Callithrix jacchus: one gene and its partner. The protein of the gene in region 1 interacts with the protein of each later gene in a pairwise test. Links are inferred from orthologs where the notes say so. Each region holds a gene or a part of one and is shown on either strand. Other genes may lie near its edges. The genes, in order: KLHL12 and TBC1D10C.

Region 1 (15,252 bases):
TCCCAAGTAGCTGGGATTATAGGCGTGTGCCACCATGCCCTGCTACTTTTGTACTTTTAGTAGAGACGGGGTTTCTCCATGTCGGTCAGGCTGGTCTCAAACTCCTGACCTCAGGTGATCCGCCCGCCTCAGCCTCCCAAAGTGCCGTGATTACAGGCGTGATCTTCCACCTTTTTACCCAATAATAGAGAATACAGATTGTTCACAGCTTCATGGTATTGGATTTTATGGATGTACTATATTTCATTGAATTGGTCCCCTACTAATGGACATTTAACGTTGTTGTCAATCTAATCTACAAACAATGCTGCAGTTTGTACATATGTAGTACATATCTTTTACATATGTAGTCTTACATGTGCATGTGAATAATTTTATTAAAATTGACAAATATTTCCAAAATGCCCCCAATAAATTTTATAACAATCTTGCATTCTTCTCTACAATGTGGAAGTCAGGGACAGTTTTAGACAAGGAAAACACGACATGGAAGATGGAGATGCAATGTAAATTTAGAATGCTGCCCACTTGGCTATGGTTTTAGTATCCTTAAGAATGAAAGGGCTGGGCGCTGTGGCTCATCCCTGTAATCCGAGCACTTTGGGAGGCTGAGGAGGGTGGATCACGAGGTCAGCAGTTCAAGAGCAGCCTGGCCAACATTGCAAAACGCAGTCTCTACTAAAAATACAAAAATTAGCTGGGCGTGATAGTGCGTGCCTGTAGTCCCAGTTCCTGGCGGGGCGGGGCTGAGGCCGGAGAATCGCTTGATCCCGGGAGGCAGAGGTTGCAGTGAGCTGAGATCATGTCACAGCATTCCAGCCTGGGCAACAGAGTGAGACTCCATCTCAAAAAAAGAAAGAAAAAGGGGGCTCACAGAAGAAAATAGTATTACCAATTTGTTGTCTAGACATTCAGATAAGTTGAACCAATTAACCTCTTTGCCTTTTCAGACACTAACTGCACCAAAATCAGTTAGAAGCGAACTTTCTTAAATTAACCTTCAGCAACCATAGCCTGGTGAAATGTCAGCAGGGGAGTAACAGTGGTGATAAGGCTGTCTAAGATTTCCCTAAGAAGATTCTTTCCAATTTCCCTCTTAATGTCCACCTTGTAGTGGCCACAAGTTCCTTTCACTTAATTGTCTTGGAGTGAAAGAAGTAAAATCACCTTAGTGGTGATGATAAGCCCCATTATGACGCAAAGTATATACGAGGTCTGTGGATCGCAGGGCTCAGAGGATTCTTGCGCAGCGTTGTTCGGCCCCAAGAGGTCATTGTGGACAATGGAAGGGAAGAAATTTGAGGCCTCCGTGGGTTTTCTCGATAGCAAAAAGTTCCTCAGTACCTGGAAGGTAAAACGCACTTCCTGCATTCAGATGTTTAGCATATTAAGCCTTAGAATTCTCTCCGTCTGCTCTGCCTCCTGAGCGGTGGGGAGGGTCTCAGGCTCATTCAATCGCCAAGCTGTAGAGCTATATTCCCAGGCTTCCTGCGGACCCCACACCACCCAACCGTCCGTCCTTCCTTCCATCTTTCCTTTCTTCTATCTTTCTCTCTCTCGCTCCCTCCTTCCTTTCTTTCTTTCTCTTTCTCTCTTGAGAGTCTCACTCTGTCGCGCAGGTTGGAGTGCAGTGGTTCTGCTGCCTCAGCCTCCTGAGTGGTTGGGATTACATTCGCACACCAGAACGCCCGGCTAATGTTTTTGTATTTTTAGTAGCAACTGGGTTTAACCATGTTGGCCAGGCTGGTCTCGAACTCCTGACCTCCAGTGATCCACCTGCCTTGGCCTCTGGGATTACAGGACTGACCACTATGCCAGCCCTCCCCCCGCCCCCCCCGCCTCCCCCCCCGCCCCCGACAGGGTCTCATTCTGTGGCCCAGGCTGGAGTGCAGTGGCTGTCAGGTCTCCATATGCAAGCCTGGAACCAGAACGTCTGAAGTCCTGCCTGCTGCCTGCCTCTGCTAATTGTCTCCCACCCCACCGCCTGCGTTGGCCATTGTCCCTAATCGCCCAGCAGAGCTTCCCCGGACAAGCCCCTCACCCCACCCTGCCATCTTAACTGTTCTTATGTTAAATGTGGATACCTCTCACCCCATCCTGCCATCTTAACTGCTCTTATGATAATGTGAATGCTCCTTGCCCCATCCTGCCATCTTAACTGCTCTTCCGCCTTACTCAACCCGCCATTGTAACTGAACTTGTGGTCATGTATACTCCTTGCCACTACCCCCGACCACTGTAACTGATCTTACTCTGCAACACCCTCGCCCCCCAAAATTACCCCAACTTATAGAACCAATTCCCACCCTTACTCTCTTCGCCTTTCTCAGATTCGGTCCGCTTGCACCCAAGCGAGAAATAAAATGTCCTTGTTGCCCACACAAAGCCTGTTTGGAAAATCTCTATATTAAATGCATTTAATTTTCGGTATTATTAGACGTGAATAACAGTGGCGATCCTGGCCCACGGCAACCTCTGCTGCCTGGGTTCAAGGGATTCTCCTGCCTCAGCCTCCGGAGTAGCTGGGACTACAGGCGCAGGCCACCACGCCGGACTAAATTTTTTTTTAAATTTTTTGGTGGAGACGGGGTTTTGCTGTGTTGCCCAGGCGGGTCTGGAACTCCTGAGCTCAGGTAATCCGCTCGCCTCAGCCTCCCAAAAGTGCCGGGATTACAGGGGTGAGCCACCGCGCCCCGGCCACCTGACCTTTTTCTAATTCGGCTTCATAGCAGTTTACAGAAGTCCCGCCCCCGATAAGGCAGGTCACGTGACACCGCCTCATCACGTGACGCGGACTCTGCGGCGGGAGGAGGGCGGTCCTCACGCTGCATTGCGTCATCACGTCGCGCGGCCGCGGGGTCCAGACCCGAAGGCTCCAGAGCCTCCGGAGCCTCCGGGTCTGGGCGGCGGCGGCGGCGCTTCGGCTCCTTGTGAGCCGCCTGCTGGCCCTGCGCCCCACCCTATCCCCACAGGCTGGGGACAGGCCCGGCGCGGCTGTGTGGGCACGGGAGCTGAGGTGAGTTGCGCGGAAGTGATGGCAGTCAGTCTTTCCCTTCCTGTCCATCAACTCCGGGTTATGGCCCTTCCCCCATCCTTGGTCTCCCTGCAAGGGAATCGGAGGCTCGCCCTGGATAGGAGGAAGGCTGCGTGGGGCGTCTGGCCTCGGTCGCCCTCTCATCTCTCCGCATACCTCCACCTGGCGGTGCTGGTCATATGTATGCCTGCTGGTGTCAGGGGGAAGGACTTCGTTTCTTTCTCTAGAATTTAGTCTTTCCCGAATGTATTGCCCCTCCCCTGCCTCGAATCTCCCGAAGTGGAATCCCTCTATTCAGATGTTAACGGAAGTTCTAGAAAATAGGTCACTTCAGAAAGGTGAGAGTGAAGGATATGCTGAGACTTGGAGTGGTGAGGCAGGAATCCCCAAGAAGGAAGACCACTTTGCACCAGGGTTACTGTCATTTTGATGTGGAAACGACAAACCCCCCTCCCTCCCAGATTGTCATCAAGGTAAATAGACATTTGTTTCGGACCCTTTTTACACCCCTGGAGTTGAAATTAAATTGACTTAAGGCTTCTTGAAAAACATCATATGCTTTGATGAATCACCTGCTTTTCTGTAAAATTGGTCTTGCAGAGTTGTTGGAGGGATTATCTATGGTGCTTGTAGTGTAAAATGCCAACTATAAACATAAGTAAATGAGAATTTAAGATCTCATTTTTCCTATTGAAAAATTGTGAGTTGTGGACTTTTAGAGACCGTCGTTTGATTCCCAACCTTGGATCATTTCAGAAAGTTTTGGATTCCAATATTGATTCGTTAACAGTAATTGACATTTACAGATGTAGAGTAGGAATACCTTCTTGTTGAAGAGCTTCAATAGCTTAAGCAAGTAAGTCCACTTGGGTGGTTTCCACAGTTCATTGTAGGTAATGGGTCCTCAATTGGTTTTTTGTTGTTGTTGTTGCTGTTTTTAATTTTTTATTTATTTATTTTTTTTCTGATGCATTCTCGCTCTGTTGCCCAGGCTGGAGTGCAGTGGCATGATCTAGGCTCACTCGATGGAGCAATTCTCAACTGCCTCCTGGGTTCAAGCAATTCTCGTGCCTCAGCCTTCCCAGTAGCTAGGATTACAGGCATGTGCCACCACACCCGGCTAATTTTTGTGTTTTTAGTAGAGACAGGGTTTCATCATGTTGGTCAGGCTGATCTCGAACTCCTGACCTCAACTGATATGCCCACCTCAGCTTCCTAAAGTCCTGGGATTACAGGCGTGAGCTACTGGGCTGGGCCTGAAGTTTCACTTTAAGAAGAAATCCAGATATATTTGGAAGTCATCAGACGTAATTATTTGCATACTTTAGAAAAGTACATTTTTACCGAACTTTCTTGCTCTAAGTTGAATACACACTTTTTTTTTTTGCATTCAATTCTAAGCATTTATTGTGCAACTTCTAGGATAGAAAGCATACATATAAAGCAGGATCTTCACCCTCTAAATGCTTATCTACTTATGGATATTAAATAGTAATGATATAATACCTTTAAGGAATTTTATATTTTATTTTATTATTATTTTTTTTGGGACAGAGTCGCATACTGTTGCCCAGGCTGTAGTGCAGTGGTGCAATCTTGGCTCACTGCAGTCTCTGCCTCCTGGGTTCAAGCAATTCTCCTGCCTTACAGGTGTGTGCCACCATGCCCAGCTAATTTTTTGGTATTTTTAGTAGAGATGGGGTTTCACCACATTGGCCAGGTTGGTCTTGATCTGACCTCGTGATGCGTCCGCCTCTGCCTCCCAAAGTGCTGGGATTACAGGCGTGAGCCACTGCACCCGGCCTATATTTTCATTGTATCATTTGACACAAGAACCTTGTGAAGATTTACAGGACATAGATTGTTTACTTACATTTCAGCGTTCATCATAATAAATGTCAAGTGGTAGGGACACTCCATGATAGAGGAATTCGGAGGAAGAAGAGAGAACTTTTACATGGACTAGATAGTAGCTAGATAGTGGTGGTTATGTCAGGTATAGGAGTGCCTTCTACTTGTATATGTTTGAGTCTGAGGAAGCCCCTTAGATTCTCAATTTGTAAAGCTAATAAATATGTTGTTTCCCTAGTTTTTTGAATATGCTCATTGTTTTTTTCTCTTGTAATTGCAGAATCCAAGGACCCCTTTTGTTTCTCTGCACCACTTTCTGGGTGACATTATGGCCCCCAAAGACATAATGACAAATACTCATGCTAAATCCATCCTGAATTCAATGAACTCCCTCAGGAAGAGCAATACCCTCTGTGATGTGACATTGAGAGTGGAGCATAAAGACTTCCCTGCCCATCGGATTGTGCTGGCTGCCTGTAGTGATTACTTCTGTGCCATGTTCACTAGTGAGGTAAGTGGTAAGTTAGCCCCACACAAATGAAACTCTCCCATTGAACTCTACTTGTCTAATTTCACTGAATAAAATGTGATATAATTGTGAATTTTTACAGTGTGATGTTTAAGTAGGCAGATTCTGGATAAGATCTACCACCTGACTATGCCTTAGTTTCCTCATCTTTAAATTAGGGGTAATAGTAATATGTAATAACACATGATTATTAAGGTTATTGTGAAGATTACCTTATAAAATAACTTACGAAGTGCTTAGAATGGTGTAATATGTAGTAAAGCACAAATGTCAGCTATTGTATTTTACTATTTCTTAAATTTGTCTTCCAATTTTTCTCCTTTTTTTGTTTCTAATTTTATTTATTTGTAAAGACAGGGTCTCACTATATATTGCCCAGGCTGATCTTGAACTCCTGGGCTCAAGTGTTCCTCCTGCCTTGGACTCCCAAAGTGGCCACACCTGACATTACAGGTGTAAGCCACTGCACCTGGCCTTTTCTCCTTCTAAAGTTTAAAAATTCTTAAGTGAATACCAGAGGGCTAAGAAGGAAGGAAGGAGAGAGGAGTAGGATTCAGATCTCACCCCATTCCTCCTAACAATATGTGAAGAAAAATCAGTGTAGATTTTAGGATAACTTCAAATGAAAGGAAGAAGAGTTTTTAATGAATAGCTGTACAGGTATAGAGTACATCACCTGAAAAAAGATGTTAGCTCATAAGCATTTAACCAAGGGAATTAGGAAAAAGGTGACGTGACAGAATACAGGTAGTGCTAACAAAGTATTAAGAAACACTGCTTAGTAATTGCCTGACAAAATACTTGAAATGTGGAGTAAGGCTATATTGTGTTCAGTGCTCCTAGAAAGCTGCACAGGAAGGAACATTGCAAGCCTTTGTTTTTCAAGATCCCAAGTCTGATTATAAGAGCAGATTTAAATGAATTACCTTGATTTTTTTTTTTTTCATAGCTCAGTCATGGGTGCACCACTGTTTATTATATTATCTACACCCATATGTATGCCTGAAATAGTTTATTACAAAAACACTTTTTTAAACATCTTTTTAAGCACAAGTATTTTTTTTTTTTTTTTTTTTTTTTTAGTTCTATCATCTTAGTGAAGATATTGCTACTGGATCAGGATGGGAGAGGCATATTCTATGATGGTAATAACTACCTTTTATGGGCCAGGTACTGTGCTAGTGATTGTTGTGCATATCTCACTCACCCTAGGGGTTGTTATTACCATCTCATTTTTACAAATGAAGGAACAGGGTTTCATATATTAAATCACTTGCCCAAACTCCCATGGATTATAAGTGCTCAAGGTAGAATTTAATTCTATATTTTCTGTCTTATAAAGTCCAAACTTTTTTTTTTTTTTTTAATTTTGGTTTTTAAGATGGAGTTTTGCTCTTGTTGCCCAGGCTGGAGTGCAATGGTGCAATCTTGACTTACCGCAACCTCCCTGTCTCAGGTTCAAGCAATTCTACTGTCTCAGCCTCCCTAGCAGCTGGGATTACAGGCATGTGCCGCCACATCTGGCTAATTTTGTATTTTTATTATAGATGGTTTCTCTATGTTGGTCAAGCTGGTCTTGAACTCCCAACCTCAGGTGATCCGACTGCTTTGGCCTCCCAAAGTGCTGGGATTATAGGTGTGAACCACCACACCTGGCCAAAGCCGGAATGGTTTTTAACTATTATGCTGCCTTAGTCTCTGAAGTATGAATTTTATATCCTACAGTCTACTTTTAAAACCAGTATAGTTAAAAATACTATGGGCTGATGCTCAGTCACATGGCTAGTAGGGAAAACAGGAACTGATAGGTCATTCCAGCTAATCCAGGCTAATTTTTAAATGAACTTGTGTGATAAAACAAGGTAGATCCCTGTCCTATACTGTTCTTCATGGGATATACCAAGAGCATCAGAAGCATTTGGAATTTACCTGGGTAAAGAGAGTGTCACCCAGCAGCTGCTGAGCATCAAATAAACTAGAACTGTTGACTGCTAATTATGTATTGTGTATCCTGTTTTTTGTCAGCTTGAAAATATTCTGTCTTTACTCTTAATTCAGAAATTAATTCTTTTTTTCTCATTTTTGATTTCTTTCTTTAAAAACTGACATCAGGCTGGCCGGGCGCTATGGCTCACGCCTGTAATCCCAGCTCTTAGGGAGGCAGAGGCGGGAGGGTAGCTTGAGCCCGGGAGTTCAAGACCTGCCTGGGCAATATAGCGAGACCCCGTTCTCTACAAAAAGGAAAAAAGACAAAAAGACAAAATAATAATAATAATAATAAAACTTGACATCAGGCAAAAAAATGCCAGATGGTTTTGTTTTTATTTTTCAGAGTAATTGGTTTAAAGGAGAGAGTCCAGAGACCTGGAATCTAGGCTTAGTTCTCTTAGCAATTCTGTATAAACCCTGTCAACCATCTAACTTCACTGGGTTGATCTGTAAAATAAAGTAGTTGAACTAGATGGTTTCCTTGTTCTCTTCAGCCATGAAATGCTCCTCAAATGTCATCTGATTGAAAGATCACAGGACTGAGGCAAGAGGACCTGGGTTTTATGTCTCTCTTTTTTTTTTCTGAAATACTTTGATAGCAATGATATCTGTCTCTCACTGGCTGAGTGACTCTGGTTAAGTCCTATATCTGCTTTGATTCTTAGATCCTTTATCTCTTAAGTAGTAATAATATCAGATCTAACTACCTTACCAGGTTGTTGGGAGAATCAGATGAAATAGTAGAAAATGAGAAGCACTGAAAAATTCTAAAGCAAAATATAAATGTGAAATGTACTATTGCTCTAATCAATATTTAAACTATTTGATGGAAATATAGGTTATTGAGTGAGAAATTTCAATTTCTGGAATACGTGTACTTACATATTTCAGTATCATAATTTTTTTTTTTAAATTTTTTATTGGATTTTAGGTTTTGGGAGTATCATAATTGAATGTATTTAATGTGTTGGGACAGTAATTGTTTATAAATATTAGTACTGTATTAAGTGTTAATAAAACCTAATATGTTTTTTCAAAATAATGTGCTCTTGACTTTTTTTACTGTTAGGGATTGATTTTGTTCTTGGCTTTGTAGAGAGTGCTTTTTGGTTATTCTCTGGCTGACGGAGAAATCAAACATGATAAAGCAATTTAGTTCATAATGGAGGTACACCAGATTTTTGTTAGTAAAATAAATTTCTAAACTAAGATTCAGTAAAAATTTTTATAAGGTATTTTTAGATAATTTACTCTCCTTTAAAGTTGAAGATTTCTTCTCTTAGCTCAACAGTTTTCTATGATTATCTGGCCTCATCAATACTCAACAGCTTCAAGGAGATATACTACTAACAATTCAGTTAGTCTAACAATATTTTGAAAAAGTAACAAACACTTTATTTGTATTCAGATGGTGTTACATAAGAAAGTCCCTTAGGATGACCTGCATATTCTTTTTCATCATTACTAAATGTAGTCTGAGGGCCAGGCATGGTGGCTCCCTCCTGTATTCCCAGCACCTTGGTAAGCAGAGGTGGGTGGATCACCTGAGGTCAGAAGTTCAAGATCAGCTTGGTCTACATGGCGAAGCCTTGTCTCTACTAAAAATACAAAAATTATCTGGGCACGGGGGCTCACGCCTATAATCCCAGCACTTCGGGAGGCTGAGGTGGGCCAGTCACTTGAGGTCAGGAGTTTTGAGACCAGCCTGGCAACATAGTGAAACTCTGCCTCTACTAAAAATATAAAAATTAGCTGGGAGTGGTGGCACATCCTTGTAGTCCCAGCTACTCAGGAGACTGAGGAAAGAGAATTGCTTGAACCTGGGAGGCAGAACTTGAAGTGAGCCAAGATCGTGCCACTGCACTCCAGCCTGGGCAACAGAATGAGACTCCATCTCAAAAAAAAAACAAAACAGAAATTAGCTGGGTGTGGTGGTGTACTCTTGTAATCCTAGCTACTTGGGAGGCTGAGGCAGGAGAATAACTTGAACCTGGGAAGAAGTACAGTTTGCCGAGATCGCATCAGTGCACTCTAGCCTGGGCAACAGAGCGAGACCCTATCTCCAGAAAAAAAAAAAAATGTAGTCCAGGGACAGATGATAGGAACTAGGTAATCCTGGAGAGACTGGAGTTATAACCCACAGGTCCTCTACAAATGTGAAATTTTTTTGAAATTCTGTGTCTTAGCTGGGCGCAGTGGCTCATGCCTTTGGGAGCACTTTGGGAGGCTGAGGTGGGCGGATCACCTGAGGTCGGGAGTTCAAGATCAGCCTGACCAACATAAAGAAACCCTGTCTCTACAGAATTAGCAGGGCATGGTGGTGCATGCGTCTAATCCTAGCTACTTCGGCACCTGAGGCAGGAGAATGGCTTGAACCCGGGAGGTGGAGGTTGTGGTAAGCCAAGATGTGTCATTGTACTCCAACCTGGGCAACAAGAGTGAAACTCTGTCTCAAAGACAAAGAAAAGAAATTTTGTGTTTTATCTTAAAAGTTGATGGACTAGTGTTATATTCATGGAAGTTTTGCATTCTATTCTGTGATACTTTTTTTTTTGGTATTTTTAGTAGAGATGGGGTTTCACTATATTGGCCAGACTAGTCTTGAACTTCAGACCTTGTGATCCGCCATCTTGGCCTCCCAAAGTGCTAGGATTACAGGTGTGAGCCACCATGCCTGGCCTATGTCTGTATTTTAATATGAAATTGATTTTTAAAGTTATTCACTGGCAACATTGCTATTCTAGGAAGGTGTCACATATTATTTACTCCGAGGGTATAGATAACTGCCCATTTCATTTGGAAAGCTACAGACATGTGACATATTTGCTTTATTCAAATCCAACAAAACAGGTCATAATTTTTATTTTTATTTATTTATTTATTTATTTTTTTGAGACGGAGTTTCGCTCTTGTTACCCAGGCTGGAGTGCAATGGCACGATCTCGGCTCACCGCAACCTCTGCCTCCTGGGTTCAGGCAATTCTCCTGCCTCAGCCTCCCGAGCAGCTGGGATTACAGGCGTGCGCCCCCATGCCCAGCTAATTTTCTGTATTTTTCGTAGAGACTGGGTTTCACCAGGTTGACCAGGATGGTCTCGATCTCTTGACCTCGTGATCCACCCGCCTCGGCCTCCCAAAGTGCTGGGATTACAGGCTTGAGCCACCGCGCCTGGCCTATTTTTTTAATTTTTAAATTTTTTTGAAAGAATCTCACTGGTGCCCAGGCTGGAGTGCAGTGGCACAATCTGGGCTTACTGCAACCTCCACCTCCCAGGTTGAAGCAAGCAATTCTCCTGCCTCAGCCTCCTGAGTACCTGGGACTATAGGCATGTACCACCACGCCCAACTCATTTTTGTATTTCTAGTGGAGTTGGAGTTTCATCATGTTTTCCAGGCTGGTCTTGAATTCCTCACCTCAAGTGATCTGCCTGCCTAGGCCTCCCAAAGTGCTAGGATTACAGGTGTGAGCCACCACTCCTGGCCCTTAATTTTTAAAGATATATGTTCAATTAATATTATTAACATCTGTAAGCTCTTAGATATGAGATTGTGCCTTTATCTTGTGGAATTATAACCATCATTCTTTTATACCTTTTACATTTTCAGCTTTCAGAGAAGGGCAAGCCTTATGTTGACATCCAAGGTTTGACTGCCTCTACTATGGAAATTTTATTGGACTTTGTGTACACAGAAACAGTACATGTGACGGTGGAGAATGTGCAAGAACTACTCCCTGCAGCCTGTCTGCTTCAGTTGAAAGGTATAGACATTAAAACTTGCTATGTCAAAATAGCCCTGGAAAGGTTGAAAATTAATAGTGTAAACTTAATCGTGACCATTTTGGAGACAAACTGGATGCTCACGTTTACTGGCTATCCCTTTTGTCTCATTAAGCAGTAAAAAATCAGATGTCAATAGCAGTATAAAGGAACTTCTGATATGCATATGTGGCTCTATGAAAGGAGCACTTGCATGTTTTTTTTTTTTTAAAAAAATGTAAGAAGAAATTATGTATTTTCTTACATACATGTATATAACACATCTGTAAGAAGTATAAAAAACTGATATTTTACATAGCCTACAGGGATACTCTTCATTTACCTGGCCATTAAGTAGCCAGGTTGATAATGAGGCTAGGGGGACTTTTCATGGTAAACCCTTTTGTATCTTCAAATATTTGAACTATGTAGAATATCTGTTAAATGAACTTTAAATTCATGCACAAAAAAATGATAGTTTTCACAGGATTACAGATGGTTTGTTTTCCCGTACAATTCCCAGGTTTTTTGGGTTTTTTTGTTTTGTTTTTACCACAGGGTCTCCCTCTGTCACCCAGATTAGAGTGCAGTGGTGCAGTCACAGCTCACTGTAGCCTTGAATTCTTGGGCTCAAGCAATTCTCCCACCTCAGCCTCCTGAGTAGCTGGGACCACAGATGCATGCCACCATACCCACCTAATTAAAAAAAAAAGTTGTGGAGATGAGTTCTTTCTGTGTTGCTCAGGCTGGTCTCAAGCTCATGGGCTTAAGTGATCGAGCTGCCATTCCTGGTCCCCAGTTTTTCTTTTCTTTTCTTTTTTTTTTTGAGACAGAGTTTCGCTCTTGTTACCCAGGCTGGAGTGCAAAATGGTGCAATCTCGGCTCACTGCAACCTCCGCCTCCTGGGTTCAGGCAATTCTCCTGCCTCAGCCTCCCGAGTAGCTGGGATTACAGGCACACGCCACCATGCCCAGCTAATTTTTTGTATTTTTAGTAGAGACGGGGTTTCACCATGTTGACCAGGATGGTCTCGATCTCTTGACCTTGTGATCCACCCGCCTCGGCCTCCCAAAGTGCTGGGATTATAGGCTTGAGCCATCGCGCCCGGCCCCGGTTTTTCTTTTTTAACATTCAGTTATGTTTTCATTATTCTCAGTTTTTATATATACATAATTGACACATTTTTAGTTTTTAATACATGATTTAAATAGCGTGATGCTTTTGCATTAGTGCATAGTTGTAAAATTTAAATACTCTGAACTTTTCAATTAGGTAAATATGAGATTTGTTATTACTGTCTTCTGCTTTTCTTTCACTCGAGTCATTTAGTAGGTTTTTGTGTAGAGTAGAAAATAGGTACATTATGCTGAATTAGTAATTGGTTTTATAGTTTGATTCCCAAGAGTTTTATAGGCATGTTTGTTGAACTGTGCTAGTGTCTCTGGATGCAATTCATCTTGCAATACTGATTTTAAAGAATAAGCAGAGACGGGTGTAAAGGTCTTGCTGAAAGTGACACAGCATGTAAGCCAGAAATAGAGTTTAAGATCCTTAAGCATAGAATTTCTAATCTGTTTCTTAGGGTTCATCTGATAACATGTAGAGAAGATGTCAACATATAAGAATATAGAGTAGATCACACCTGTCTGACTATTCTAAAGTGTTTGCTGCCTGTGTCTATCCTAGGTGTGAAACAAGCCTGCTGTGAGTTCTTAGAAAGTCAGTTGGACCCTTCTAATTGCCTGGGTATTAGGGATTTTGCCGAAACCCACAATTGTGTTGACCTGATGCAAGCAGCTGAGGTTTTTAGCCAGAAGCATTTTCCTGAAGTGGTACAGCATGAAGAATTCATTCTTCTGAGTCAAGGAGAGGTGGAAAAGCTAATCAAGTGTGATGAAATTCAGGTACAGATTTGTCTTTGTGTTATGGTTTCTTCAAGATTGGGCAATTACAAAACTGGCAAAGTAGGATGCAGTTACTTACCAGGGCTTCATATTCAAGTGTCCATATTGGCTCAAAGATTTCATTAATCCCTCCTGTACCAAATTTATTTGTATTTTTATGGAGAGGGAGTCTGCTACTTTCTTCAGTTAGGTGTATGATCCCAATCGGTAAGAATCACTATTAAACAGAGTATAGAATAAGCAGAAATTGGAAGTAAAGTCGGTATCTGTAGAACACGTCTTTATTACGCATTCACTCAGTTCACAAAATTTATTGAGAATATCTACTATGCAGCAATACTATGCCAGGTGCTACAGATCCCCAAGTGGGTAAATATAGTTTCTTGCTTTCAGAAAATTCACAATATGCTAGTAGAGACAGGGATATAGATAAAAAAAAAAAAAAAAAAGGTTGAGAGGATAATGAGAATAATGAGCCTATACAAAGTAAGGACATTACATAGAAGAAAGAAGAATAAACCCAGGTGTGGATCAAAAATGAAGAGATAAAAGTTTGGAAGTGAGGATCTTCATAAGCAGGAGACAAATCAAAACTTTCTTTTGAGGGTGCAGGGGATGGAAGGAAGGGACAGGTGAACTAGATCTTAAAGGAATAGTAGGCCAGGTGCAGTGGCTTATGCCTGTAATCCCAGTACTTTGGGAGGCTGAGGCAGGAGACCTGCTTGAGCCCAGGAGTTTGAGACCAGCCTGCAACATGGCAAAACCCCGTCTTTACAAAAAAATAAAATTAGCCTGGCATGGTGGTGAGCACCTGTGGTCCCAGCTACTTGGAAGGCTGAGGTGGGAGGATCTCTTGAGCCCAGGAGTTTGAGGCTGCAGTGAGCCATGATCACATCACTGCACTCTAGCCTGGTCAGCAGAGCAAGAGCCTGTCTCTTGTGGGGGAAGAAAAAGGAATAATGTTTCACCTACCAGTGGGATACTACCTGTACCAGGCAGGCATTCAGTGACTTAACCTATACAGAAGAATCTTAAGTCAATTCTAAATCAGATACCAGTAGCAGAGTTTTATTGCATACAGGTCTATAGTTAGGCTAAAAATTGGAGTGAGAAGTCCAATATAGTTATTAGATGTCTTTGAAGCCTGTAGTGTTGATCTCCAGTGGCCCAATTCTTTAATTTTTGTTTTTGCGATGGTCTCACTCTGTCACCCAGGCTGGAGTGCAGTGGTGCAATTATGGCTCACTGTAGCCTGTATGTCTGAGATCAACCAACTCTCCCACTTCATCCTCCTATGTAGCTGGAATTGCACACCACCACTAATTTTTAACATTTGTTGTTGAGATGGGGGTCTCACTATATTTCCCAGGCTGGTCTCAAACTCCTGGGCTCAAGCAGTACTAGCCTCAGGCAATACCATTTAAAGAAAGCCTAAAATATACTTCCATAAATGAAATGATTACTCCCTCCTAATTTATTTTGTTAAAACTAGGATATTTGTGTAATAGAATAACAGATCTTAAGTATACCTCTTCCAGGCTGGAGTGCAGTGGCATGATCTCAGCTCACTGTAACCTTCACCTCCTGGGTTCAAGCTCTTCTCCTGCCTCAGCCTCCCAAGTAGCTGGGACTATAGGCATGCATCACTATGCCAGCTAATATTTGTATTTTTAGTAGAAACAGAGTTTCACAATTGTGGCCAGGCTGGTCTGGAACTCCTGACCTCAAATGATCCACCCACCTCGGCCTCCCAAAGTGCTGGGATTACAGGCGTGAGCCACTGCTCCTGACCTTAATATATTTCATATCAAATTTAGGCAAGTGTTTCTTTACACCTTTCTTTAGTGACTGTTATTGGTGACATTGGTTCCAACTGTAGAGGAATTATTTTCCAGCCTGACATGCTGCTCTGTATCAGCCCGGAGAAGCTGCTATTGCAAATGCTGTTGAGACAAGAATTTGCTAAAATCTTAGTTCTCATCCTCTTAGTGTGGTACATTGTCTCCTTGTGCCGAAATGGCAGACATAGCCAAAAGATGTATTCATCAGACTTGGAAACTGGCAGTTCACTAGAATATCTTGATTTTTCTTGATTTGTTCACATATCGGAAAATACAGTGACTAGAATGAGCACTACAGATTTGAAGTTTACTACATATACATAATAGATAATACTTACTCAGCATTT
Region 2 (15,568 bases), on another chromosome or scaffold:
GGGAAGCCCCCATACTCAAATAGTCGCAGAAGGTCGTAGTACTGGCCGTGGATGTCACCTGTGACCCATGGAACCGAGTAAGCTAGATGCTGGGTCTAGACTTGAACCCAGGGCCAGGACTAGGCTCAAGGGAGGAGGGCTCCAGGAACTTTGTGGGGGCCAGTGCCACTTTTAGGAAGCCAAAGGGGCCTGGGCGAGGCTGGGGGCTGCTCACCGCAGATCTTGAGGGGTGCCTCCAGCTCCAGGAGAATGGGCTGGCTCAGGAAAATCTCCCGGGATTTCAGGCACAGACCGCGGATCTCGTTCTCTGTCAGCTGTACATTCTTGCCAGGCCGCGAGCCCTGCACTGGGGGCGCAATGCGGAGTCAGGACCCTGGCCTCTCAGACAGGGGGAGGGTGGGCGACACGGTGGCCCCGTGGATACCTCCGGGGGCGCCTAGGCCTCCTCGGCCCCTCCTTGCCCAGAGGCAGCTGTTGCTGCTGAGCCTCCTGGGACGTCGGCCTCAAGCCTCCCAAGGGAAGCCCCCCTAGTTATCCTCAAAGGCTCGGGAGGCGACTGTCGTGCGCAGGGGGCTGCCGCCCAAAACCTCACAGCGCAAGACACCTCCCTGGACCGGGCTTCCCGGGTTTCTCCCTCGCCCCAAGAGCCGAGGCAACCCGTGAGCCCCCGGCCGGGGAGAGGGGGCTGCTCCGCGCCTCGAAGCCGGCCCCGGACCTCTCAGGCGCGTCCGCGGGGGGGGGCGGCTGCGGCCACGGAACCTCGCGGCGCGTCCCCGCCCAGTCTAAGCTGGCCCCGGGGGCCCGCCCGCGCGCCACTTCCGGGCTGGGCAGGGGTCCAGGGCGCGGCGGACGCGGACCTTCCCCACCCCGGCCAACCTTCCAGCAGGCGCCCGATGATCGAGTCCAGGTTGAGCTTCTCGCTGTCGGACATGGCGGCGCCGCCGCTCCAGTCCAGCAGCTCCGGGCCCGCTCCCGTCTCCCGCCCTCCGGCTGCCTCCTTCCGGCCTGGCTCTCCTTCCGCCCGCCCCAGTCCGCCCCCGGCCCGCCGCTCCGCCTCCGGGCCTCCCGGGCCCGCCCTGCCCGGCCCCCCGCGCTCTAGCGCCCCCGCTGGATGTGAGGCGCGGAGGCCCAGGGGGCGGGGCCTCGGCGGCGGGCTGGGGGCGGTGTCTGTCGGGGGCGGGGCCGAGGCTAGTTACGCCCGAGAGGAGGCGCCCAGCTCCGTTTCGAGGATGTGGGGCCGGAAGGAATGTGGAAGTTGTTTTTCTCTTTCAAAAGCTGAACAGCCCTTCCCACCCCTGCCCTGGGTGGAGGGTGTCGTGAACACGTTAATAACCGGCTGCCCCGCACTGAGGGTTAACTTCTCCAAATGCAGAAAGGGAAACTGAGGTTCAAGACATAGCGACAGGCTGGTTCAAGACCTGGACCTCGCTTGCACCGAGGACCCCCTTCCTCGTGGGTCTCCGTGGCCCCCAGGCGGCTGACCACACTCAAAGACAGCTAGAATTCCCAGCGCACTTTGGTCCTTGGGGCATGCTAAATTAATATTTTCTTATAAGTCCCATAATTAGCTTTTTTTTTTTGAGGCGGGTTTTGCTCTGTCCCACAGGCTGGAAGGCAGTGGCGCGACCTTGGTTTAATGCAACCTTCCCCTCTTGGGTTAAAGCGATGACAATGCCTCAGCCTCCAGAGTAACAGGGACTACAGGCGGATGTCACCGCGCCCGCTAATTTTTGTATTTTTATTAGACGGGGAGTTTCCATGCTAGCCAGGCTGGGATCACAGGCCTGAGCCATCACACCTGGCCCCATAATAAGCTTTGAGTAGCACAGTAATATTGCAGGGTGTGCACGTAAAAAGAATTATAAAGAGTAGACATTACATGAACCGTAATTACTGTTGGAACCCTGAGTTGGGTGCTTTACACACCAGTAACCTCAAAACTGGAGGTGGGCTGGCCATCGTGGCTCAGGCCTGTAATTCCAGCACTTTGGGAGGCTGAGGCATAATGATCTCTTGCGCCCAGCCTGGGCAACATGGCGAAACCTCGTCTCAACACAAAACACAAAAATTGGCCAGGCACCGTGGCTCACACCTGTAAGCCCAGCACTTTGGGAGGTTAAGGCAGGCAGATCACAAGGTCAGGAAATTGAGACCATCCTGGCTAACACAGTGAAACCCCGTCTCTACTAAAAATACAAAAAATTAGCTGGGCATGGTGGTACGTGCCTGTGGTTCCAGCTACTCAGGAGGCTGAGGCAGGAGAATCACTTGAACCAGGAGGCAGAGGTTGCAGTGAGCTGAGATGGCGCCACTGCACTCCAGCTTGGGTGACAGAGAGAGAGAACGTATCAAAAAAAAAAAAAAAAAAATTGTGCTCACTTCGGCAGAACATATACTAAAATTGGAACGATACAGAGAAGATTAGCATGGCCCCTGCACAAGGATGACACATGAATTCGTGAAGCGTTCCATTTTATTAAAAAAAAAAATTAGCTGGGCATGGTGGTGCATGCCTGCAGTCCCAGCTGCCAGGGAGGCAGGAGGATCTCTTGAGACCAGGAGGTGGAGACTGCAGTGAGCCCAGATCATGCCATTACACTCCAGCCGGGGTAACAGTGAGACACTCTCTCAAAAAAAGAAACATGAAGGCCAGGCGTGGTGGCTCACACCTGTAATCCCAGCACTTTGGGAGGCTAAAGCAGATAGATTATTTGAGGTCAGGATTTTGAGACTAGCCTGGCCAACATGGCAAAAACACATCTCTACTAAAAAATACAAAAATTAGCCAGGCATAGTGGCATGCCTGTAATTCCAGCTACTTGGGAGGCTGAGGCAGGAGAATCACTTGAACCCGGGAGGTGGAGGTTGCAGTGAGCCGAGATCGCACCATTGCACTCCAGCCTAGGCGAAAGAGCAAGACTTTGTCTCATAACAAACAAACAAACTGGAGGTGGGTGGCCTCCTGGTGAGGCAGGCCTGGGCTCTACACACCCAGCATAGGATCTCAAGCCTGTAGCTTGGGGAGGGTGGGAGGAGCCCACAGCTCAGGGGCACTGGGGCAAGCAGGAAGAGTCAGAGAGGAAGGGGTGACACCTCCCTACACTTGGGAGGGGCCCCCAGCGGTTGCCAAAGCTGTGTGAGGAGGAGGAAGTGAGAGGAGGAGGTGAGGTGCTGCCGGAGGTGAGCTGGGCTGGTGGGGACAGGGGCTGGGCCTGGGGCTGGGTCTCCAGACAGAGACCCAGTCAGTGTGGGGCCTAGCCCCCGCCCCCATAAAAGAGGAGACGTAGGGGGCTTGGTGAGATACCCTGAAACCTCTCAGCTCTGACCCTGCAGCCAGGCCCCAGCCTGGCCAGAGTGGTCCCTCACACTGGTTCTCCCCACATTCTCTGCCTGTGGCATTGAAGGCTGAGGGCACCATGGCCCAGGCCCTGGGGGAGGATCTGGTCCAGTCGCCCGGGCTGCAGGATGACTCCAGCTCTTTGGGGTCGGACTCAGAACTCAGCGGGCCTGGCCCATATCGCCAGGCCGACCGCTATGGATTCATTGGGGGCAGCTCAGCAGAGCCAGGGTAAGGGGGCAGGGTGAGGGATGGTGGGATACTGGGACAGAGGATGCCGGGGGAGGGCTGAATTCTGTAGTGAGGCCTAACTCAGGGAGGTTGGGAGGGTCTGGTGGTAGGGACTGGGAGGGGGACTCAGCCAGTATCACCCCTCTGCAGGCTCCAGGTGGAACCTAAGGTCGGAAGGGTAGGGGGAGGCCTCTGTACATCTCTTACCCCCAACCCCTGAGGGTTTCACTCACTGCTGGGGCAGAATATCCTTCCCCTTCAAACCTCTGGCCCAGGAATCCCAGATCCAAGTCCCAGAACCCACACCTCCTCCTTCCCCCTTTCCCCAAGCTGCAGACAGAAACACAAGTTCACATCTATACAGAAACTTGTGTCACACAGGGGATCAGAGACAGACCCAGACTCAAACTCAGGACTCCGGGCTTCCAATCCAGGGCTCTCGGCAGCCAGCTTCCTCTATGAATTGTCTGTGTCCCTGTCCTGCGTGACAGCCAGCCTGCTCCTCCCCCAACATACACCCACTCACCTCTTCAGTCTCCTGCTTCTGCCCACATTGGATCCACATCCTTTCCTGTCCCCCTGACAAGCATTAGCAGCTCCTGGGTCACAGGTCATCCCACAGGGCTCCCAGAGATCCCTGGGGCCAGGAGCTGGGCTCAACTGGGTGGCAGCGTGGGCCCTGGGTAACAGCTGCCGAGCTCCTGGATACCTGTGCCACGCACCCCCAGGCCGGACCACCCCCCTGCAGACCTCATCCGCCAACGGGAGATGAAGTGGGTGGAGATGACCTCTCACTGGGAGAAAACCATGTCCCGGAGGTACAAGAAGGTGAGAGGACAGGGGCCCCACACTGGTCTCCATGGCTCATTCCTCTCTGCCTTGGCCCACATCTTGGCAAAATGTACCCACCCTGGGTCCCAGCACCTCCTGCCTTTGCTCCCTGCCACCCAGAGTGGGCCCCTGCCTGCTGATGAGCTGTGCCTGGGGCCTGCCAGCGGGAGCTAGGGAGGTTGCCTAGCGGAGCCCTCGGCCTCGCCCACAGGTAAAGATGCAGTGCCGGAAAGGTATCCCATCTGCTCTGCGTGCCCGGTGCTGGCCCCTGTTGTGCGGGGCCCATGTATGCCAAAAGAACAACCCTGGCACCTATCAGGTGAGGGAGTGGGCAGGGGCTCCAGCTCCCTTACCCAGAGCACGCACCACACCGAACCCTCACACCCACCTTCCCGGCTACCCACAGGAGCTGGCAGAGGCCCCTGGAGACCCACAGTGGATGGAGACAATTGGCAGGGACCTGCACCGCCAGTTCCCCCTGCACGAGATGTTTGTGTCACCCCAGGGCCACGGGTACGAGGCAGGTGATGCCCAGGGACCCTCAGCCCCACGAGCCCCAAGTGCTCTGGCCCACTTTCCCCAGCCCAGCTTTACAGTTTTGCATCTCAGGGGACCCAGCAAGGCCCAGGGAGGCTGAGGCCTGGGCAGAGGCCACCAGAGGGCGGAGAAGGGGTGCCTGCAGGACCGGCCCCTTATGGGGTCTTCTGGCACAGGCAGCAAGGGCTCCTGCACGTGCTCAAGGCCTATACCCTGTATCGACCGGAGCAGGGCTACTGCCAGGCCCAGGGGCCTGTGGCTGCTGTGCTGCTCATGCACCTGCCCCCAGAGGTGAGTGACCTTGACCTTGCTCTGGGAACCCTAGTGACCTAGGCCCAGGGAACCCCAACCCCAGGAACTGTGGCCTCAGAAACCTGGGATCCTTGATCCCTAGACCCTGTCCTAGTGACCAGGGCCTCATGACTGCCAACCACAGTGACCTTCCAGCCTAATGACCTTGACTCTAGGAACCTTGACCTCAGCCTTGACCCTAGTCACCTGGGAGTCTGGATGTCATCACTTTGACCCCACAACTCCTGATTCTGAACTTAGGGAGTGTGACCCCAACCCCAATGACCCCAGAAACCCATGACTTGAACTTTGGGATACTCCAAAACCTTGGCCAGTGAACCCCAACTCTCATCCTCAAATCTGTGACTCCAACACCCTAAACCCATTGGCAGGCCCTGTCCTGGGCAGAGGAGGGGGCTTTTGGCAAGGGCTTCCCAGGAGCTGAGCAGGTTGAATGGCCCTGATCCCACTGTGGTGCCCAGGCCCTCCCCTTCAGTCCTTCCTCCATCCTGCCTTCCTCTCGCGGTGGCTTCCTTGGTGGGCACTCATAGACCTGTGCCCTGCCCCTTCCCCAGGAGGCCTTCTGGTGCCTGGTGCAAATCTGTGAGGTCTACCTCCCTGGCTACTACGGGCCCCACATGGTGAGAGGCTGGCATGGGGGCTGGAGGAAGGAGGGGCAGGGCCCTGGTGAGTGGGTGGGGTTGGGGGACTGAGGGAGGCAGAGCCTGGGCTCTGGGAGTGACAGTGCTGGCCAGCTGATGGACATGCCACAGGAGGCCGTGCGGCTGGACGCCGAGGTGTTCATGGCTCTGCTGCGGCGGCTGCTCCCGCACGTGCACAAGCACCTGCAGCAGGTGGGCGTCGGACCCCTGCTCTACCTGCCGGAGTGGTTCCTGTGCCTCTTCTCCCGCTCCCTGCCCTTCCCCACAGTGCTGCGTGTCTGGGATGCCTTCCTCAGTGAGGGTGAGTGGGGCAGTAAGGGGCTGGGGCAGGAGCCTTGGGGTGTGGGTGGGAGGTAGCTCACCAGCCCCAGGGTTCCCTTTTGGGGCCTTGAATCACGGATTGGGTGTACTGAAGTTGTTGACCTGGTGCCTGGCGATACATCACCCATCACCCATCACCCAGGCACCACCTGGTGCTGAGCTGGCCAGGGAGGCTTCCAGGGAGGCAGATGAAGCAGGAAGTGGGCGATCACAGCCCGTGGAGGCCTCTGCCGCTCAGGGATAGGCACCTCCTGGGTGCTTACTGGCTCCAGACGTGGATCTGCAGCTGGGAATCAAGTGATTGAGACCTTCATGCTGGCGGGGGTGGGGGTGGGTGGCGACAGTAACCAAATTCACAAGATATTTATAGATTGTCAGAAGTGCCATGAAGAAAATAAAACGAGGGATATGACAGGGAGTGTCAGGGGAGTGCAGGGTGACGGCTGCATTTCAGCTGCTGCTGGCTGCTCTGTGCAGGGGGAGGACTCACAGGGGTCTCTGTAGAGGCCTGGGGCCAGGAAAGCCACTGTCCCCAGGGGCCAGGCTACAGTCAATGCAGGAGAGAGGGCTTGGAGCTGTGAAGCCAGAGAGGGGGATGCTGGAGGCCAGGCCAAGAGCGGGTGGGGAGTCAGGGCAGAGCCAAGCTGGACTACCTGTGTCTTTCAGACTCCGCCTCAATACCTCCATCAGCAACCCACCTGCATTCTGTTCTTTTTTTTTTTTTTTTTGAGATGGAGTCTTGCTCTGTCACCAGGCTGGAGTGCAGTGGTGCGATCTCTGTTCACTGCATCCTCCACCTCCTGGGTTCAAGAGATTCTCCTGCCTCAGCCTCCTGAGTAGCTGGGACTACAAGTGCATGCCACCATGCTCAGCTAATTTTTGTATTTTTAGTAGAGATGGGGTTTCACCATGTTGGCCAAGATAGTCTCGATCTCTTGGCCTCATGAACTACCTGCCTCAGTCTCCCAAAGTGCTGGGATTACAGGCGTTAAGTCACCGTGCCCGGCCCCTGCATTCTGCTCTATATGTGAGGTCTGGAGGTTGCACCTTAAAAAAACGTGGCAGAAATCAGTCAGCATGCATACTAAGTGTCATTCGGGTGCTCAGCTGGCTTCCTGCCCTCCACCCAGTGGGAGGACCATTGCCGAGTTCTGGCAACAGACGTCCAAGTCGCTATCCTTGTGGTCACTCCTGGAACAGGGCTGGGCAGAGCTGGGCAGGGCATGACCCGTCCACCTACAGGAAAACCCTGCACAGGATCCCTTATCAGAAGGACAATAGCATGAGTAGTGATTGTTCCTCGACGGTCACGGTCCTCACTCAGCCTGGCTGGTGCCCTGGTGGCTCTTCTCAGATCAGAGGCTGCCAGGAAGGGATTTTGAGGCTTCAGGACTAGCCCAAGGTCACATGTGTGGGGAGCGCTATGCTCCTGGCTTAGGGGAGAGCAGTTCTGCCTAGGTCTTTCTAGAATCAGAGGGTCACAGATCCAAGCTGGAAAGGTCTTAAAGGGCATCACCTCACCTTTCCCTGTTCCTTGTGGAGATGAGCAAGCTGGGGCCCAGGGAGGGCTTGGTGTGAACTCACCAGTAGCCCCCGGCTCCTGGAAGGAAGCTGGTGGCTTGGTGGGGGCGGGAGCATTGAGGTGTGGGTGGGGAACTAGCTCACCAGCTCTGGGGTTCCCTTTTGGTGTGCTGAAGATGATGGCCCTGTGCCTGGTGGCACATCACCTGTCACCTGGATGCTGCCTGGGGCAGGAGCTGGGTGATCACAGCACATGGAAGCTTGATGGGCTGAGGGAGGGGAGAAGGTGCTTCTCCCTGGAGCTCACAGGCACCTGCCAGGCGCTCACTGGCTCTAGACGTGGATCTGGCATCTGAGAATCAAGTGATCAAGACCTTCATTCTGGTGGCGGCGGGGATGGGAGGTGGCAGTAACCAAATTTGAAAGATATTAACTCTGCCCCAAAGCATCTGTGGCTCTTGAGGCTAACTTGGCCAGTGCAGTGGCCTGTGTCACCTGAAATGTAACCCCACCTTCTGTTATTGCTCCTGAACCGGGGAGGGCAGAGCTGCAGGAAAGTGGCAGATGTACGGCTGAGAGCAGGTTTGGGTGCAGAACTGTGGAGTGAGCCAGCCCCTGGCCCACAGGTGCCAAAGTGCTGTTCCGTGTGGGGCTGACGCTGGTGCGCCTGGCGCTGGGCACTGCAGAGCAGCGCAGAGCCTGCCCTGGCCTCCTGGAGACACTGGGAGCCCTTCGAGCCATCTCCCCAACGCAGCTGCAGGAGGAGGTCTTCATGTCTCAGGTGGGTGCCCCCGCCTCTCCGAGAACTGGCCCAGTCCCTGCTGCACGGGGGAAACTGAGTCCCAGGGCAGGAAGCCAAAGTGAGAATGGGGGCTTAGTTCCTGTCCCCTGAGCAGCTGAGAACATGAAAACCCCAGGCCTTCAGAGGCTGTCTATGGCTCCCCAGTGAGGCTGCCTGTTAGCCCCTCAGTCCTCAGCCACTTCCGGGACTGGGAACCTCACAGTTTCCTGTTTCTGCCCTGAGGCCGACCAAACTCAGCACCAATAATTCCCCACAGGTTCACGGCGTGGTGCTGTCGGAGCGGGACCTGCAGCGGGAAATCAAGGCCCAGCTGGCCCAGCTGGCCCAGCTGCCCGATTCTGCACCGGGGCCCCCACCCCGGCCACAGGCCCGCCTCCCCGGGGCCCAAGCCATCTTCGAGGCCCAGCAGCTGGCAGGGGCGCAACCAGGTGCCAAGCCTGAGGTGCCTCGGATCGTGGTGCAGCCCCCAGAGGAGCCCAGACCACCACGGCGGAAACCCCAGACCCGAGGCAAGACTTTCCATGGGCTCCTGACTCGGGCCCGAGGCCCCCCCCTCGAGGGACCCCCCAGGCCCCAACGAAGCTCCACCTCCTTCCTGGACACCCGCTTCTGAGAGGACCATGGACTCAGTGTCCCCCAGGCTCCATCACCTGATGGCTGATGCCCAGCCCTGCACTTTACTCTTGGGACCTGGGGGCTCAGCTTCCTTCCTGGCAAGGACTAGGCGGAGGAGGAGGAGGTCCTCTGTGGTACATACTGGGTGAGGCACTAGCATGGGGGGGGTCCCAGAGTGGGGCACGTGAGGACCCATGGAGCCATCCTGGTGCCAGGCCCTCACGAGTACCAAAGCCAGCACTGAACAAGTCGGGGAAGGGGTCGGCTGGGCCGAGGGACCCCAGAGAGCTCCAGGAATAAAATCTTGAACAGATGCCTCAGATGGTGCTGGATAAAATGCCCTCCTCCCACCTCCAACAGGCAGCCCCTTCCCCTCCTCTCTCACCTGCCCCCTCCCAGCTTCGCACTCTCCTGGTCCTGCCATGGTCCCACCCTGGGGACATACCGAGGCTGCCCACTGGCTGCTGGGGAAGGTGTTTAGGTGTTTACAGTAGTAGTAAGAGCCAATTGAAAGTGTCCCTCCCCCAGCCTCTGGGGACAGGGATGGCTTTTGCACCTGTAGAAGGGGGGCGCCCCAAGGATGGTGAGCCCAGGGGCTCTACCCGTCTTTTGCCCTCCTTTCCCTCCCTCCAGGGTGGTTCCGGACTCTCTGGGATGGGGACTCTAACCCAAGTCCTCCCCGCACCCATGGTCCTGGTCACATCTGTCAAAGGGACCCAGGCAGAACAAAGGCCCAGTGTGCCTGGGACAAAGGAGAAAGGTCCCGCCGGCCCTCACCCCTCCCAGAGCCCCGCGTCTGCCCCCTCAGGACCGCCACCATGGAAACCCCATCCTACACTCACTAATTGCCCCCGTGGGTGCCCAGGACCTGAGCCATTGCCGGGGCAATGGGGCCGGTTCCCAAGTGCCCTCCCCTCTCTGGGGAACACAGCAGGACTCTAATGGACAGGAGGCATCTGCAGGCCCAGGCTCCGGGGCTGTCCATCGGGTGGGTGTCAGTGGAGTCACCTGTCAGACTCTGGGTTTGGAATGTTCTTTCGACAGGGCCACAGGCTGTGTCTGTGTGGTAAGTGCCAGGCCCTGGGTTCCTGGAAGAGGGAATCATGGTGGCCTAGACCCTTATCTGTCATTTCTCTGGGGGAAACAGGCTGAGGAGGAGCAGGAACTTGCAGACAGCCTTACTGTTCATAGCAGTCCCAAGGTTTACCCCTGCCCCGACCACTGGCAGCTCCCCCCTGGGCAGCCCCCTGGGGAGGGGTGCATTCTCCTGCCCCTTCTCCCCCATCCCCAATGCTGCACCAGCCTTCCAGTGTGTAGACGAGGCAGCAGCAGGACTCCTGAGTTAGCACTCCAGAGCCTCCCTCCGCCCACTCCTCCTCACCCCATTGGGGTGCGTACAACTTATTAATAACCCCCTTACCTATAATTTACAAAACCCTTTCCAAGAACCACCCCGCACACCAGGCCCTCTCTCTGCACGTAGCCCCTGATATCCCTGTTAGAGACACACAGGATCAGTGAGGCCAGGGACCTCACCCAGCCCCACAGTGAAAGGCAAAGCTGGCCGGAGTGCTCTGTGTAGACAGGGAGTCTCTTGGTGGAATCTCAGGCTCTGTAGCAGGCAGGGTGGCCAGGGTGGGGGCACTTGTCCCTGAAGTCCACTTGGGAGCTCCCCACCCTCCACAGGTTCAGCTCTTCTCCTGGGAGAACAGGGGAGCAAGGTGCAGCAGCCTCAGCCCTGGGTCAAGGGTCTGTCATGAACCTGCGGGGGCATGGTGGCAGTGGCTCACTCTGGACACTGACCCTAGGAGCAGGTGGTCTCCAGCAGGGTCCCTCTAGCTGGGGCTCAGCCACTGCCTTTCCTACTCAGGAGACTGTTTTCTGGCAGCCCAGCTGTAGGTTTCGTTATCAGTCCTCTGCACAAGAGCCCTGACTCACAGGTCGGACAGAACCAGTGCCCTCCTGGTGTGAACCCTCAAAAGAATGCATTCCCACAGGCCCTCCTCCGCAGGGCTGCACCGGCCCCCACAGCACCTTTTTGCTAGCTGGGGAAATATGTCTCTCCTCCAGGCAACATGCCTCATCACAGTGCACGGTGTAACAGAGTGGGGAGGGATCTCTCACCCAGGTGCCTTTGTGCAGTGAGCAACCTACGCAACCGTACTCAGAGACCCTAGAAACGCCCTAGAGACCTGCCTGGAAAGGGGCTCAGAGAAGGGAAGCGATGCATCTGAGAGCACTCAGCGTGTGGGGACTGATGCTGGGAGGGCCCCTGGGATGTCTGTCAGCCTCAGAGTGGGGCATGCATCGTGGACATGAGTGGGGGCATGCAAAGGAATGAGGGGGGCAAATGGGTGCCCGCCATGGATGGGGGGACCCACGGTCTCCGTCTTGCTCTGCCACCCACTCGAGGTTCCCTGAATTCCCACAGCGTTCCAGGCTCCCAGAGGTATCAGACTTGGAATCCCCTACATGGGAAAAGCCCTTTCTCCTTCTCTGAGCCTCAGTTTCTCCTGTGGATAACGGGATAATAATGCCCCCACCCCAGCTTCAAGACCGCTCTACCAGCACATGATGATGGTGATGATAGTGACGACTGTTAGTCCAGGTGGGCAGCAGCCGAAGCACTGCCCCTCCTCACCCCACCCCTACCTGGCTCAGCTCTGCCTCGGGGTGATGTCCAGGCTTTCCTGGCAAGGGTAGAGCTGAACCACCCTGCCCACCTGCCTGCCCCAAGTCCCAGGGTCCTGAGCTGGGGCTGCAGCTGCCCAATTCTGATTTTCCTCCTTCTATCCTCCCTGTATCCAGTGCAGTGGGGACCAGCCAGGGTGGCCTGAAAGTGGGCACAGAACCACACAGCTCTCTGTGCATGCACGCACGCATTCTGGCAGAAGATCCCAGCTCTGCCAATCACCAGCTGTGTGACCTTGGGCAAGTCACACCACCTCTCTGAGTCTCATAATTGCTCCCTTGCCTGTGCAGTGTTAGGTCTGGGCTCAGTGTGCACTGTATCCCCACTTGAAGAGAGAAAACTGAGTCCCCAGGGCTGCAGAGCTTGTTGGTTTGTTTGTTTTGAGATGGAATCTCGCTCTGTTCCCTAGGCTGGAGTGCAGTGGCGCGATCTCAACTCATTGCAGCCTCCGCCTCGTGGGTTCATATGATTCTCCTGCCTCAGGCTCCCGAGTAGCTGGGATTATAGGTGCCTGCCACCACATCTGGCTAATTTTTGTATTTTTGGTAGAGACGGGATTTCACCACGTTGGCCAGGCTGGTCTCGAACTCCTGACTTCAGGTGATCCGCCAGTCTTGGCCTCCCAAAATGCTGGGATTACAGGCATGAGCCACTGCACCTGGCCTCATTTTTTGTATTTTTAGTAGAGACAGGGTTTCACCAAGTTAGTCAGGCTGGTCTCAAACTCCTGACCTCAGGTGATCTGCCTGCCTCGGCCTCCCAAAGTACTGGGATTACAGGTGTGAGCCACCGCACCTGGCCTGTAGAGCTTGTTAAATGTCAAAACTCATGCTCTTTGGATGACACCCAGGCCCCACAGTAGGATCCCATGGGAGCTCAGACCACCCATGCAGCAAGGGATTGGGTCTCCTGGGGTGGCTGCACCTCATTCCTGGAGCCTGGGCCGGGTGCAGGGAGGGCTGCAGGTGGACCTGGAAGCTATGTGGGGAATGTGGGCTGGGTGGGGCACTCTGGAGAAGACATTTCACCTCCCTGCCGACCCTTCCAGTGGTAGACAGGATGGCTGCACAGACTGCCCTGTATATAGTTGCAGAAAGCATCCAACAGCTGCCATCTCTGTCCCCACAGTGTGTGGGCCCCTCAGTACTCTCCCCCAGGCCAAGGGGCTCCCAAGGACAGCTGGGGCTCAATGTGTGTCGAGCTCTGAGCCAGGCAGGGAGAGGGGCTGAGCGGGTGTGCTGGGGGTAAATCGTGGCTGTGATCCAGGTCTCTTGGTGTACCCTTCTGTGGCTATTTGGGTGGGTGGGCTTGGGTGTGAGTATGTGTATCTTGGAGAGACTGTAGCTTCAACTGAGGATGTGGTGTTGATGAGTAGAGCAGATTTTTTTTTTAAAGAGATAGTGGGGGTGGGCACAGTGGCTCACACCTGTAATCCCAGTACTTTGGGGGGCCAAGGAGGGCAGATCACAAGGTCAAGAGCTTGACCATGCTGGCCAACATGGTGAAACCCTATCTCTACTAAAAATACAAAAATTAGCTGGGCGTGGTGGTGCACACTTTTAGTCCCAGCTACTTGGGAGGCTGAGGCAGGAGAATTGCTGGAACCCAGGAGGCAGAGGTTGTGGTGATCAGCGATCACGCTATTGCACTCCAGCCTGGGAAACAGACCAAGACTCTATCTCGAAAAAAAAAAAAAAAAGACGGCTGGGCGTCGTGGCTCATGCCTGTAATCTCAGCACTTTGGGAGGCCAAGGTGGGTGGATCACCTGAGGTCAGGAGTTCGAGACCAGACTGACCAATATGGTGAAACCCTGCCTTAAAAAAAAAAATAAAAGACAAGACAAGACATAGAGTCTGGCCGGGCATGGAGGCTCACACCTGTAATCCCAACACTTCAGGAGGCGAAGGCAGGTGGATCACGAGGTCAGGAGTTCAAGATCAGCCTGGCCAACATGGCAAAACCCTTTTTCTACTAAAAATACAAAAATTAGCTGGGCATGGTGGCGCACGCCTGTAATCCCAGCTACTCAGGAGGCTGAGGCAGGAGAATCACTCGAGCCTGGGAGGTGGAGATTGCAGTGGGCCGAGGTGGTGCCACTGCACCCCAGCCTGAGGAAAAGAAGAAGAAGAGAGAGATAGGGTCTCAGAGTCCCACTGTATTGCCCAGGCTAGAGTGTAGTGGCACAACCAGGACTAACTGCAGCCTCCATCCCGGGGCTCAGGTGATCTTCCCACCTCAGCCTCCCAAGTAGTTGGGATGACAGGCCCATACCACCTCAACCAACCGATTTTAAAACAGTTTTTGTACAAACAGGGACTTGCTATGTTGCCCAAGCTGGTCACAAACTCCTGGGTTCAAGCAATCCTCCTGCCTCAGCCTCCCAAAGTGCTGGGATTCCAGGCAGCCACCGCACCAGGAGAGGCTGGATCTTATGAACATCCCGCCCCTGTGTGCAAGTCCACTGAGGCCAGGAGAAGTGAGGAGGGGGCTGCACAGATGTGCGGAGACCCTGGCCCAGGAGGGCCTCTGGGAGAATGTGCAGTAGGGTGGAGCACTGGGGGCTGGGATCTCCAGATTCCATCCAAAGGTAGGGCTCAGGGCTGTGCCCCAGGCTGCTCTCCCGGGCACCCCACCCCTAAGGGCGAGCCCTAGTACCAGTCTCTGCCTGCTCCGGCTCTCCCTGCCCCTCCTCTCCATCTCTTCTCCATGGTGAGCCTCCCTCTTTCTTCACGGCAGCCCTAAGTCTGTGACCCTCGGCAACTGTCCCTGTCCATCTGCACCTGGCCCTCTGTCGGGACTTCCTCTGTGTCTCTGAAGATCACCGTCTCTTCCTGCCTGCTCCATGCCCTCCTCCTGCCAGGCCCAAGTCCGCTCCACACCCCCAAGTCTGGGACGTTTTGGGGGCGGGTGTGTCCCGGGCGGGTCCCTGTCTGTCCGTCAGCCCCACGTCGCCCCGCCAGGCACTGGGCATGCCCCAGGCGCTTCTATATAAGGCAGCACTGCCTGGGCTTGGGGCTGTGCCACTGCCACCGCCACCGCCACTGCCGCCGCTGCGTCCCGCCCTGTCCGAGTCTGCCCGCCACACTTGCCGAGCCGCTGCCGCCCACCAGGTACCCCGGCTCCAGCCTGCCCCAGGGAGAGTCAGGGAGGGGGGCGGCCAGGGCAGGAGTTGCCGGGACGAGGACCCCCGGGCGCCCGAGTCCCGCAGCGGGACACTTGACACTACGTTCCCTATCCCCGGGACACGGCTCGCCCCCCCCCCAGACACCCGGAAGTCCCCCCACCTCCCCCACTCCCTGTGCTGGAGGGGCCGAGCAGAGCCAGGACCCTACGGCAGTGAGGACCTGTGAGAACTGGGGCAGGAGCCACTCGGTCTGGGCAGCAGAAATCACTCCTCTGCTGTGGGGTGTAGTGGGCCCTTGGCCCCTATCTGCAGGGACAGGACAGAGGAGCAGTGGCGGCCACCTCTGCACTCCCAAAGTCTAGGGGCTGGAAGGCCAGGCAGGGACCTGGCTGCCCTGACTCCTTTGTCTCTCTGTCCCTCTGTCTCTGCCATCAGTCCCTCAGCCACTCCACCAACGAGATGGTGAGTCTCCTGTTGTCCCTCCCCCAAAAAGGCCCAAGTCCCTGGGCAGAGAGTGGGCCCAGAGGACAGCAGGCAGCACTCAGGACCTAAGCTCGGGGGCTGCCCTGTGCAGACAGCTTAGACTCATGGCCGGCCCCCCCC

Evidence for each region.
Region 2: the proteins of KLHL12 (region 1) and TBC1D10C interact in binary tests that used the Homo sapiens proteins (3 or more experiments, as listed by UniProt). The two-hybrid records come from large-scale screens. The link is inferred for Callithrix jacchus from reciprocal best matches to the Homo sapiens genes KLHL12 and TBC1D10C.

What each region holds. Positions count from the first base shown.
Region 1 is NC_133520.1:29,957,488-29,972,739, reverse strand, and holds the start of KLHL12 (kelch-like protein 12), read left to right. Parts: upstream 1-1,177; coding exon 1,178-1,351; intron 1,352-2,827; exon of another isoform or gene 2,828-3,387; coding exon of another isoform or gene 3,388-3,507; intron 3,508-5,165; coding exon 5,166-5,396; intron 5,397-11,008; coding exon 11,009-11,162; intron 11,163-12,846; coding exon 12,847-13,064; intron 13,065-15,252. Other genes in the region: transcription and mRNA export factor ENY2-like, read right to left, coding at 1,168-1,191. UniProt on the Homo sapiens protein: Substrate-specific adapter of a BCR (BTB-CUL3-RBX1) E3 ubiquitin ligase complex that acts as a negative regulator of Wnt signaling pathway and ER-Golgi transport.
Region 2 is NC_133511.1:124,479,127-124,494,694, forward strand, and holds TBC1D10C (carabin), read left to right. Parts: upstream 1-3,152; 5' UTR 3,153-3,416; coding exon 3,417-3,568; intron 3,569-4,296; coding exon 4,297-4,396; intron 4,397-4,610; coding exon 4,611-4,718; intron 4,719-4,805; coding exon 4,806-4,923; intron 4,924-5,112; coding exon of another isoform or gene 5,113-5,120; coding exon 5,121-5,227; intron 5,228-5,802; coding exon 5,803-5,868; intron 5,869-6,000; coding exon 6,001-6,190; coding exon of another isoform or gene 6,191-6,454; exon of another isoform or gene 6,455-6,579; intron 6,580-8,357; coding exon 8,358-8,512; intron 8,513-8,789; coding exon 8,790-9,146; 3' UTR 9,147-9,468; downstream 9,469-15,568. Other genes in the region: PPP1CA (serine/threonine-protein phosphatase PP1-alpha catalytic subunit), read right to left, coding at 1-58, 215-346, 877-931.